3 linked regions of the Mus musculus genome follow. The protein of the gene in region 2 purifies or fractionates together with the protein of the main gene of each other region. This does not show direct contact. Links are inferred from orthologs where the notes say so. Each region holds a gene or a part of one and is shown on either strand. Other genes may lie near its edges.

Region 1 (3,746 bases), on a different chromosome or scaffold from region 2:
GGGGCTCGAGGTTGGCTCTTGGTTCCTGAGTGTCTGCAAATGATGAGCTAGGAAGTCTGGGGGTCCTGAACTTTGAGAGCCCAGAATGCTCCTATTGCCCAGGAAGGGACTAAAGTGTGTGCTAGTGGGGACAGGGCAGTTAGCAGTTTGCCACACCCTCTCTGCTCTAGTTGGAAGAGCCTGACAACTTCTAGAGGTGGGGGAGGTTGTGACAATTAGGGGATGTCTGGCCAGACCTGTGTGCGGTGATGGAGTGTAGCAGAAGTATTATGGGATGTGGCACTGGGTTGTGTTGGGACAATTATGGTATCGTGGGCTTTTTGAAATTATGGGATGGGAGAGTAGATAGAGTAAATGATAGGACATTTTCCCAGTGTTAGTGGAGGAGATTTAGATGTCCATTTGTGGGGTGACAGCAGAGCTGCTGATCATTAGTGAGTATCTCTTTGCTAGGAGGAATGGTAATTTATGGACCATGGAGCTAGAAAGAGACTGGGAAGGCTGTGGGTGGTAAAGTGAGCATCTAGAATCTCAACCCTAGTGCAGGGACTGAGGGCAGCTCTGGGGGGGTTGGATATTATGGGATATCAGTATAGAAAGTGGGAGACTGATTATTACGGGATCCGTGTGGGAGGAGGCCCAGTGTCCGTTGTTGTAGTATGGGGTGGGTGAGTTTCTGACAATCATGGGATGTCAAACTGGGGGTGGTTATTATGGGATGTCGGTGGGGGATGGGTTGAATATTATGGGATATGAGGCTGAAGTGCTGGGAGGGGTGCTTATTATGGGATGGCCAAGGGGAGGGAGGGGTAATGAGTTATTATGGGATGTTAGCAGTAAGGCCAAGAGTGAAGAAGTTGGCAAAGAGTGGTTATTATGGGTTATCTAAGGGAGGGGGAGCAGGTTTTAGTTTGTAAAAGATCTGCACTATATGTCTGTAGCCCCGGGCACATATATGCATAGAGTGTGGGGGGCGGGGTGTGTGTATGTGGGGTGTCCGTGTGTATTATGGGATGGCCAGGAGGTGGGCGGTTGCCCAGGTGACGCGCGCGCGCGCTCGACGGGGGCGTGGCCAATGGTTGCCTGAGCGACGAGGGGGCGGGGGTTGCCCGGGAGACCTAAAGAGGAGGGTGGCGGTAGTGGAGGGGGGGGTTGGAGTTGGTTGAGGTTATTATGGGCTGTCCGTGGGGGGCGGGGCCTGTGCGGTGGGATTTCCCGGCCGGTGTTTCGGGCCCTTTAAGAGGCGACGCCGGAGCCGGAGCCATTTTCCCCCCTTCGGCCGCGGCGAGGAGGAGCTGGAGCGGGAGTGACACCGGCGAGACCCAGCGCGACCTGAGGCGGCTCTAGGGTGAGGAGCGCGCGAGGCAACGGGAGAGACATCTCTCTCAGCCCGACGTCGTCCCGGGGGTCATTCCTTCACCTGTCCCTTCTTCAGGCGTCCCGGGGCCCGCGGGCCGTCCCCTCTCCAGGGAGCCGACCCTTCTTCCCCGGAGGCGGCCGGGTTACCTCCAGACGGCGCCCTGCCCTGAGGGAGTCCTGCTCCCCGCCCCCCCCCCCTCCTGGGCTCGGCCTCCCACAATGCCGGGCGAGCGCCTGCCCGCCCGCCCCTCGCCCTTTGCTCGCTAGCCCCCCGGGACACGTGGCCCGGCCCCCTTCCCGGTGGGTGCTCGCTTTCCTCCGGCGTCCCGACTCTTCGGGACCCCGGAGCGCCCGAGCCTCCACGCCCCCTGGTCCCCGCCGTTCCGGAAGAGAACCTGAGTTGTCCCAGAGGACAGCCTTTGGAGAGCTGCCCTGTCTGGGGACTGGCCCCTCCCCGGGCGCAGAGGAGCGCCCCCCCACTCCCAAGTGACCTTGTGTCCCCGAGCACCGGCCGCCTCCCCTGACCCTCTCCGCGCCTCCCCACTCGAACCCCACTCCCCAGGCACTCCTGGCTCAGGCCAGGCTAGCTTCTTCCTTCCCCTCCATGCACCAGCCTGCCCTCGGGGGCGTCATTCCCTCTTCTTGGGGGCTCCTGCTGGGGAGCCGGCTCACGGGCTGTCCCCGAGGAGTGTGGAACTAAGTTCAGCCTGAGTGGTTCGGGTGCTTGGCTAGGGTGGTAGGGCAGGGGGGCGGAAAGAGCGGGTGGGGGAGGGGGACTGCGCGTCACTCACTGTTCTCCCCCCTCCCCCGCACAGTGACTCGGGCCAGTGCAGAGGGCCCCAGGCCGCAGGCAGGAGCAGCTGGGCCAATTCCCTGGCCGGGGAACGGAAGGGGATGGCGTCGGGCCTGGGCTCCCCGTCCCCCTGCTCAGCGGGCAGTGAGGAGGAGGATATGGACGCACTTCTGAACAACAGCCTGCCCCCACCCCATCCAGGTAACATCTTCCCGGAGGGCCCAGGGCAGGAAGATGTTTGATCTTTCCTCGAGACTCCAGTGAGGCTGCGTTCGCGCGCTGCTTGTCCCTGTGCAGAACCCAGGGTGGAGGGCATCCGAAGGGAGTGGTTCTTTTCTGCGGAGCTCTTGTGTGCTGGGGGGTGCTGGGGGAGGTGGAAGCCATGTGCCTCTTGGGCACCACGGACCCAGATGCAAGCTGGCTTCACTCAAGGCTGTCTGGAATGCTCCGCAGTCCCCGGTTGAGGGAGCTCTCTGGGTTAGCTTTACCTCGTGCAGGTTCTTGGAGGAATGCAGGTGGTTCCGACTCTGGTGGTGACATGGTGGGGTGCGGTGGGGATTTCTGTTGCGGGAGCCCTGCCAGGCATCTGGGATCCCGCGGTTGTTCCCTGGAGAAGAAAGCGAGAGTGTTGGTTGCTTTCTGTCCCGATCTCTTACGGGTTCTCTGTGCTGTTTCAAGAGTGTAAAGTTTGAATCTCACTCTTTATCAGATCTGTAGAACTTTGTTAGTCAGATTGTTGGGATTTTTTTGAGTGGAGAAGGATGGAGGGCTAGGAGAGGCAGCATGCAGTAGCCTAGTGAGGGCAGAGGGAGGGAATTGGCCCTTGGTGTGGACATAATCTTGGATCTTTACTAGGGGCTTCCGCCACTCTGAGGTAGCTTGGGGTCTGGTCTGGATTGGTGGCGTGAGGTGTTTGTGTGGGTGTGTTAGGGTTTGCACTGTGTTTTGGGGTTGCTCCCTGGACTGGCTAAACCCGTATTATTATAACCATCTTGCCTGAGTGCCTGCCCTCAAGTGATGGCTGATGTCATGCTTGGAAGTGGATGTCTTTCTCTTGTCTCCTTATTTAGAGCCCCCTTAGTTAAGGCACCTATTGGCTTGACTCCCCCACATTCATTGCAAGGTCGGTATCTTCTCTGCGTCCACGTAGTTTCCTACACCGTGGAGCCCGGCTGTCCTGGTTACTACCCTGTGAAGCCTGGCTGTCCTGTTTTTTGTTCCTTACGGCATGGCTCTCACTTCTGCCTTTTCCTGAGCCCCAACTGGAGGGTGAGATATCCAGAAGAAATCATTTTCAAATTTGTCATTTAAGAGAGCCATTATTCTTGCTGCTGAGTCCTAGGCTGCTGAGATAAGGGACTTAGATCTGTGTCTGATCACTGAGGTGTAGGCCTGCGGAGCTCTGCCTTTGCGAGGGTGAGGTGGGTAAGGAGGAAGACTTACTTTTCCTTCCTTGTCTTTATGAGAGGCTGGGTGATGCTGTCTGACCAGCGTTGCTTCCCATCTTAGCCATAACCCCTTGCTTGAAGGTCTGGGGCTTCCCTCCCAAGTGGGAGCACTGCAGGCTCTCAGTGTGAACTCTGCCCCAATCTGT
Region 2 (3,746 bases):
GTCTAGGCAAAGGTTTGTGATTCTGTGTTCAGAATTACTCAAGTTTTAAAGTATTTGAAGGCAGGCAGTGGTGGCACACTGCCTTTAGTCCCAGCACTCTGAGGTCTGTGGAGTTCAGTCAGGTCTACAGAGACACAGAGAAACCCATTAAGTGTGTGTGTGTGTGTGTGTGTGTGTGTGTTTGGGGGAAGGGAGCAAAATAAAGAAATAAATAAAAAATTTTAAAGGTTTGGAGAAAATAGGTATTAATAAGTTATTGGTTTTTTGTTTTTGTTTTTCGAGACAGGGTTTCTCTGTGTAGCCCTGGCTGTCCAGGAACTTACTCTGTAGACCAGGCTGGCTTCGAACTCAGAGAACTCAGAAATCCGCCTGCCTCTGCCTCCCAAGTGCTGGGATTAAAGGTGTGCGCCACCACCACCGGGCTAATAAATTATTGTTACCATATTTGCTGCTTCCATTGTCCTTTTTCTTTTTCTTTTTTTTTTTTTTTTTTTGCTTCTGTCCTGGAACTCACTCTGTAGACCATGCTGGCCTCGAACTCAGAAATCCGCCTGCCTCTGCTTCCTGAATGCTGGGATTAAAGGTGTGCGCCACCACTGCCCGGCTTCCATTGTCTTTATTTTCCAAGTAATCTAAAAGTTTACCACACGGGACAAAGTGGGGCATGTCTGTAATCCCAGAACTGACGTTGAGGAAGGATTGCATTAGGTTCAAGGCTAGCCTGGGCTCTATTGTTAATGTGAGACCCTGCCTCAATCCCACTCCCCATGATAAAAATTAAATAACCAGTAAATAGCACAAACAATAATATAGCGATACAACTAATGATTGCCTAAAGATAAAATAATCAACAAATACTATAAACAATATAGTGATACAACTAATGGTTAAGAGGCACACAGATCCACGTTCTCCCGGTGACCAGCTCCTGATGTAAAATTTTTTTAAAGTAAATATATTTCTCTTTTCTTTTATTGATTGATTGACTGATTGGTTGATTGAGACAGGGTCTCACTATTTAGCCCTGGTTGGCCTGGCTGTATAAACCAGGTTTGCCTTGAACTCCTAGTGCTGGGATTAAAAGCCTGCGCCAATCACCGCAAGCTAAGCCTTTTTTTACAAGTGTAATAATAATTTCGTGTGTTTGTTTAAGGACAAGCCCAGGGAAAGCAAACAGGGTACGGCCCAGTGTCCATCTAAGCATAGACGAAACGCAGGTCTCCATGCTGTGTGCTGAGATCTGGAGTCACCCTTCTGCAAGGCACCCTGGGATTGCCCGGCCGCTCCCTCATCTCGCGACGCTTCCCTGCTTACCGCCCCACCCCCACCTTTTTTTTTTTTTTTCCCCTACGACCTGCGTCTGCGTCCCACCCCCACCCCCGCCTAACGTGTTTTTCAAACCTACCAATGAACGCGCAGCTTAGGCTCAAATCAGCCAATCGGAACGCGGCGTCACCGGGAAATTTAAATCGCGCCGGCCGGCAGCACGAGGCACAAAATCTGAGGGCTGAAGGGTAGCAGACGTTTCCACAGCCGCCGACCCGCAGCTTGAGTGTCCTGCACCACCTTTCGTGGAAATCTGAGCCGGCTGTACAGGTAGGAACGGAAGCCGGTCCTGAGCAGTAACGGCCGGACGGAAGGCTGCGGGGCGGAGGGCGGGAGCAGGCCGCGCCCGGGCCGGAGCTGAGCCTCCCTGCTCCGACCAGGCCTCGGGGCGGGTTGGTTTCGCCACGCCGGGGTCAGGGTTGGCAACGCCGGGCGCTGCGGAGGGCAGCGAAGGCCTGGGAGCGGCTCGGGTCGGCGTGGAGGGACCGGAGGGCAGCCGCAGTCGAGCGGACCTACCTGGCTGTGCCGCCGCTTTCCTGATGCTTCTGCCCCGGGGAGGAGACGCAGCTTTGGGCAGGGGATGAAGGTGGCAGTTAAGACACCCCAGTTAAGCCCTTGACCCGGATCACCTGGGTCAGGGTCGAGGACGGACATAAAGCAGTTAAACCTACTAGCTTACCAGGGTACTTTGGGTTCCTGTCCCTTCGCGACGACCACACCTGGGTTCTATCGAGCCCCACTGATCACAGCTGATGTCATCCCGGCTGAATGCATTCTCTGGAAGTGTGTGCAAGATGCGGCGTTAATGCCATTGCTGACAGCGATGATGTGATGGAAGGCCCTATAATGGAACGAACCGATTCTTTATGTAACTTGCAAGAGGGTACTAGTATGGATCCGTTTTGGCCATCGATCAACAGAAAACGAGAGCTGCGTTTATTGCCTTAAGGACGTAGATGGTTGCCAGGCATTGTTGGCGCACGCCTTTAATCCCAGCACTTGGGAGGCAGAGGCAGGCCGATTTGAGTTCGAGGACAGCCAGGGATACACACAGAAACCCTGTCTCGAAAAATAAAACAAACAAAGGACGTAGATTGTTCTCCTACTTGGTGTTCTATTAACTAATGGAGCCTAGAATTTAGATCCTTGACTTAATACCGTGCTGGCTAGAGGCTTAAGACTATTGAGTGTTTGAAAAGCCGCTAATCTGTTGAGATGCCCCGTGTGCTTAAACTACCCATTGGATTTTGAAGGTGTATAAAAACAGTAAGACATCTCAATTTTTCTGTATTGATGACATCCTCAAATGGTAATAGTTTAGCTATATTGGGTAAAAGTCTTAAAATTAATTTCCTTCCTTCCTTCCTTTCTTTTTGTTTTTTCGAGGCAGGGTTTCTCTGTGTAGCCCTGGCTGTCCTGGAACTCTGTGGACCAGGCTGGCCTCGAACTCAGAAATCCTCCCGCCTCCCAAGTGCTGGGACTAAAGGAGTGCGCCACCACTGCGGGGCTCACTGTGGTTAGTGGAAATTTTAAATTATCTTTTTTTAAAATTTTTTTTGATTGACAGTTAAGTTGCCTTTGTAGTAAGGGGCAATTATGGCTTAGTATTATAGCCATAATGATGAAAACTTGTAGGATTTTGTTTTGTTTTTATTTTATTTATATATTTTTGAGACAGGGTTTCCTGAGTAGTCCAGGCTGTCCTGTAATTCACTCTGTATACTAGACTGGCCACAAACTCAGATCCGTTTTACCTCTGCCTCCTGAGTGCTTGGAGTGCTTTGCCATCACTGCCAGGCTGTGTTGTGTCGTCATCTTTGTTTTTGTTTTTTTTTTTTTTTTTTTTGGTTTTTGTTTTTGGTTTTTCGAGACAGGGTTTCTCTGTATAGCCCTGGCTGTCCTGTCCTGGAACTCACTTTGTAGACCAGGCTGGCCTCGAACTCAGAAATCCACCTGCCTCTGCCTCCCAAGTGCTGGGATTAAAGGCGTGTGCCACCGTTGCTGCTTTTTAAATCTAGTATAGAAATGGAGTTGAGATTTAGTTGATTATAACATGCTATTGTATATTTCTGTTTGTTTCATCTTAAGATAGGGTTTCTCTATGTAGACCTAGCTGGCCTGGAACTCTCTACAGACCAGGCTGGCTTCAAACTGATAGAGATCTGGTTGTCTCTGCCTCCCAAGTGCTAGGATTAAAGGCGTGTATTACTCTACCCAGCTTCTGTTGCATTCTTATTAAAAATACTTTTTCTTTGTTTCTTTTTTTTTCTTCTCACCCTCCCTTGGCTCCTAGCTTTCCTCCTTGTTCCTGCAGCCATGTCCACGAACGAGAATGCTAACTTACCAGCTGCCCGACTTAACAGGTTCAAGAACAAGGGGAAGGACAGCACAGTGAGTACCTTCTGTTGCTTTCCTGCGTG
Region 3 (3,746 bases), on a different chromosome or scaffold from region 2:
TGGATTCTTCCAGATTGAGGACCAAGAATAAAAACTACAGGTATCTGACCCTTCAGAAATGACGCTGGATGTAGAGGGATTCGCCTACCTTCACATTTCCCTTCGAGTGAGAGTCAGCTAAAATAAAGATAGCTGAAAACTAGATTCTAAATAAACACCGTTGGTTCGAGACTGAAGTGCTCACGGTTAGCTATTAGCTGCTCTTGGAAACCTGGGGTGGTCACTGGACCTCACAGGAAGGAGACAGAGATGGCTGATTCGCTAGGTCCACACCGCAGCCTGGTGTCAGTGTCATGCCACCAGCATCTCCCAACATCCTGCACCTGAACCATCTCCTCGCTGCCCAAACCAGGACCCAGACCCTGCGTCATGCCCTCGGCCTCGCGAGGCAGTCAGAGATGCCTAATTCCCTCCCAACCCAGTGAGAGATGCCCTTCTCCTCACCCTTCTCCAGCCTCAAGGACAGAGATTAAGGACCCCCGACGCAGCACCGCCGCCGCCAACCCGTTGTCAGGTTTCTCACGGTCTCACCACAGCTCCTCCGCTGCAGCTTGCGTTTCCACAGACGCTGCGAACCGCGCCCCGCCCATCGGGAGCCGAGCAGATGATTGGCAGGGAAATCGACATCCTAGCAACCAGCCCCGCCCTTGTCTCTGGCTGCAGCCTCCGTCTGGTACCCGCCTCCAGATCCTTCTGCGACACTTTCTTGTAGGTGTCCAAGAATATGCCTTCTCGGCGGCTGGAAGAGGCTGAAGGGTGCGTACTGGAGCCAGAGGCTCTTGTCCGACAAGCACTGAAATTTGAGACAACGGAAGGGAGTCGCTGTGGCGACCCTGCCGAGCAAGGCGGAGCAGGCACAGCACGGGCGCCCCAAGCCGATCCGATGAAGAAGGCCCAGCGCGACCGGATGAAGAAGGTCCCTCGCCTCTCTCTCAAGCCTCGGTCCCCGGCGCGCGCCTCCACCGGTTCCCGAGACTTCCAGCGCGCTCCGAGGGGCCACTTTTCCTCTAGTCTCGAAAACTGCCCTCATGGCGGAGGTGAAGGTCAAGGTGCAGCCGCCGGACGCGGATCCGGTGGAGATAGAAAACAGGTACTGCAATAAAGCTAGGCTCCCGACGCTAAGCGAGCAGTCAGCTGGGTAGCGGGACCCCCTTCTCTCTCAGTCCCGCGGGGAGAGGCTGGGGTAGACTGGTCGAGCACGCGGGAGCGGGGTTGCCGGGTGTCTGGGCGACCCCCCCGCCCCGATTAGGGAGAGTAGAACTCTTCAGAAGCTCTAGAGCAGCGGGACAGCTTGAAACGTTGTGGAACTGGGTTCTCCGGGATTCTATTAGAGCACTTGGAACGTGACAGCAGCCAGGGCCAGAAGAGAGACCTGCATTTTCCCTGTAGTTCTTGGACATGTGTTCGAATCCAGGATTGCCCGGTTGCCAAGGGAAGTTCTATAAGAGAACGTTGGGGCCAAATGAGGGTTCAGTTTGTGATTACAAAGGACCATTGAGCCAAGTAGGTTCAGTGAGTGCCTTAACTCCCGTAGTGCACATGTGTTTCTAGGTTATAATGTATTTAAAAGACGACTTTCTCAACATTATTATTGTGGATAATAAGTTTATTACACCTCCAAACAAATTAATCCCTCCAGTTTGTTTGGAGGGGATAATTCTCAAGACTCCAGTTATGGTGAATCACTATGCTGCCCCCCACCCCCACCCCCGAATATTCTATTTGCTTTCTGCCCACAGACCTTGGAGTCACTTTGCTGTACTTATTCCCATTGACAACATTGAGCTTTTTAGCTTGACTATCGTGTATCTTCCTTATTTGCCTTTAAAAGCAAGCAAACATAAACCATTTATACCGTTGTTCCTAGAATTATAGAATTATGCCACCAGTTCCCTCATGGAATCACAGATCAAGTAATTCAGAACGAAATGCCTCACATTGAAGCCCAGCAGCGGGCAGTGGCCATCAATAGACTGTTATCCATGGTAAGGTGAAGTCAACCAATTCATGTAATTTGTTGTATATTCTGGTTTTCATTGCTTCCTGTCATATCGTTGTGATGGCTAACCTTATGTGTCAGCTTGGCTGGGCTCTGAGATCCTAGATATCTGCCTGTTTGCTGTTTCTGGGATGTTCTAGAATGTGGTATTTGAACTGATGTGCTGACTGTAGGCAGTGAATGGGCACCATCCAATTTAGTATCAGCCTAAGCCAAAGACATGGAGGACACAGGAACTTGCCCCAGCCCACTCTGAGCCCCAGGGCCAGCCTTCTGCCTTCACCACTCTGTCCTTAGACTTTCGGATCCCATCTATACCATTGACTTCCCATCACCGAGGTTAATGCATCCGGTCTGTGCCATTGATCTGTGCCGCTGGCCTTCTCTAGTCTCCAGCTTGCAGGAGACGTACAAGAATTCTCCCCCCACCTTAATTACACGGAGCAATAATCGCATAATAAGCCTCCTTTCTAGTAAGCCAATATACTAATTGTAAGGCCAAAATTTGTGGCTTGATTCCAAACCAAGGAAAGGATCAGAATGTCTGAATAGGAAGAAAAAAATACTCATCTGCCTGCCATTTGACAAGATGAGGGAACTGCATGCAATTCTGTTATAACTAATTGTTATTAGCTTCAGTGACACAAAAAGACACGTGGGTGTGGTCTGTTCTCAACTTGTTATACTTCCTCCTGCTAGCTTCTAGCCATTCCCTATAAAATATTTCCACTGTGAGTTTTTTGTGAGTTATCAATAGCCTATTGATTGGGGATCACAGGGTCACTCTGAGCTTGTCAAGAGCAGGAAGAAGTCCCACTGAGGGTCTTTAGGATAAAGCACAGCCTCAGCTTCAGAGACAGTGCAGTAGAGTTTCATTGAAGCCCAAGAGCCTAGAGCCCAAATGCCTCTCTTGCAGCATTTGAAAAATGTCCTACCACATACTTTAAATCCCCTATGTCGCTCTTCTTTCACAAACCATTATATGCCTTTTTCCCAAGGACTCTTTAGTTTGGTTTTATTAGTTAGTCTTACACTAGGCCTCTTCTGAATTACTGTGTTTTTGTTTGTTTGTTTGTTTTGTTTTTTAAACTTCTAGCCTTGTGTTATACTTCAAGGCTCTAGATGCAGAGATTATAGGGATAGTCGAATCTTTTATTACACCTTTGTCTTTACCTTCGTGGCTCAGAATTGGCAAACTTCTCTATGAAGTAGTAAATAAAATAACTTTTGTGGCCCATCTAGTTTCTGTCACAACTGTATCATTTGTCATTTTAACAAGAAGCAGTCATGAGCCATGAACAATGAAGCATAAATAGATAGATGTGGCTTTTTTTCTGACGAAATTTTATTAATAAAAAAGCAAACAGTGGGCCAGTGACTTATCTTTTCACCCAAAGAAGAGAAGTTGGATTTCTGGGCTTCCTTTTTCTGTGTAGAAACACTCCTTGCTATTCTTCAGGACTCAGCTCTGCTGCTATCTCCAGGAAGAGACCTGGCGCCCCCAGGTTGGGCCACAGTCCCTTTTCTGAGTGTGCATGCACCTTGTTTCTCGCTTAGTGCCAGCCAGCCAGTGCTGTCGTCACCTGTGCTTCCCCTTGAGAGTTTGGAGTGGAGCTCAGAGGTAGAATATTCACTTAGCTCACACGGTATGCTCAGCCCCCTGTTCTGTAATTCGACAACAGATTGTCCATTTAAACAGCTATCCTGGACTGGAGGGATGGCTCAGTGGTTAAGAGCACTTGCTGCT

What was found.
Region 1: the proteins of Kpna2 (region 2) and Chd4 purify together in Homo sapiens (affinity purification with mass spectrometry; 3 studies listed by BioGRID and IntAct, with this or other methods). This does not show direct contact. The link is inferred for Mus musculus from reciprocal best matches to the Homo sapiens genes KPNA2 and CHD4.
Region 3: the proteins of Kpna2 (region 2) and Polr3f purify together in Homo sapiens (co-immunoprecipitation; 3 studies listed by BioGRID and IntAct, with this or other methods). This does not show direct contact. The link is inferred for Mus musculus from reciprocal best matches to the Homo sapiens genes KPNA2 and POLR3F.

Annotation. Positions count from the first base shown.
Region 1 is NC_000072.6:125,094,913-125,098,658, forward strand, and holds the start of Chd4 (chromodomain-helicase-DNA-binding protein 4), read left to right. Parts: upstream 1-1,068; 5' UTR 1,069-1,348; intron 1,349-2,111; exon of another isoform or gene 2,112-2,174; 5' UTR 2,175-2,253; coding exon 2,254-2,353; intron 2,354-3,746. UniProt on the Homo sapiens protein: ATP-dependent chromatin-remodeling factor that binds and distorts nucleosomal DNA. Acts as a component of the histone deacetylase NuRD complex which participates in the remodeling of chromatin.
Region 2 is NC_000077.6:106,997,209-107,000,954, reverse strand, and holds the start of Kpna2 (importin subunit alpha-1), read left to right. Parts: upstream 1-1,429; 5' UTR 1,430-1,596; intron 1,597-3,619; 5' UTR 3,620-3,642; coding exon 3,643-3,717; intron 3,718-3,746.
Region 3 is NC_000068.7:144,526,836-144,530,581, forward strand, and holds the start of Polr3f (DNA-directed RNA polymerase III subunit RPC6), read left to right. Parts: upstream 1-909; 5' UTR 910-1,028; coding exon 1,029-1,090; intron 1,091-1,867; coding exon 1,868-1,985; intron 1,986-3,746. UniProt on the Homo sapiens protein: DNA-dependent RNA polymerase catalyzes the transcription of DNA into RNA using the four ribonucleoside triphosphates as substrates.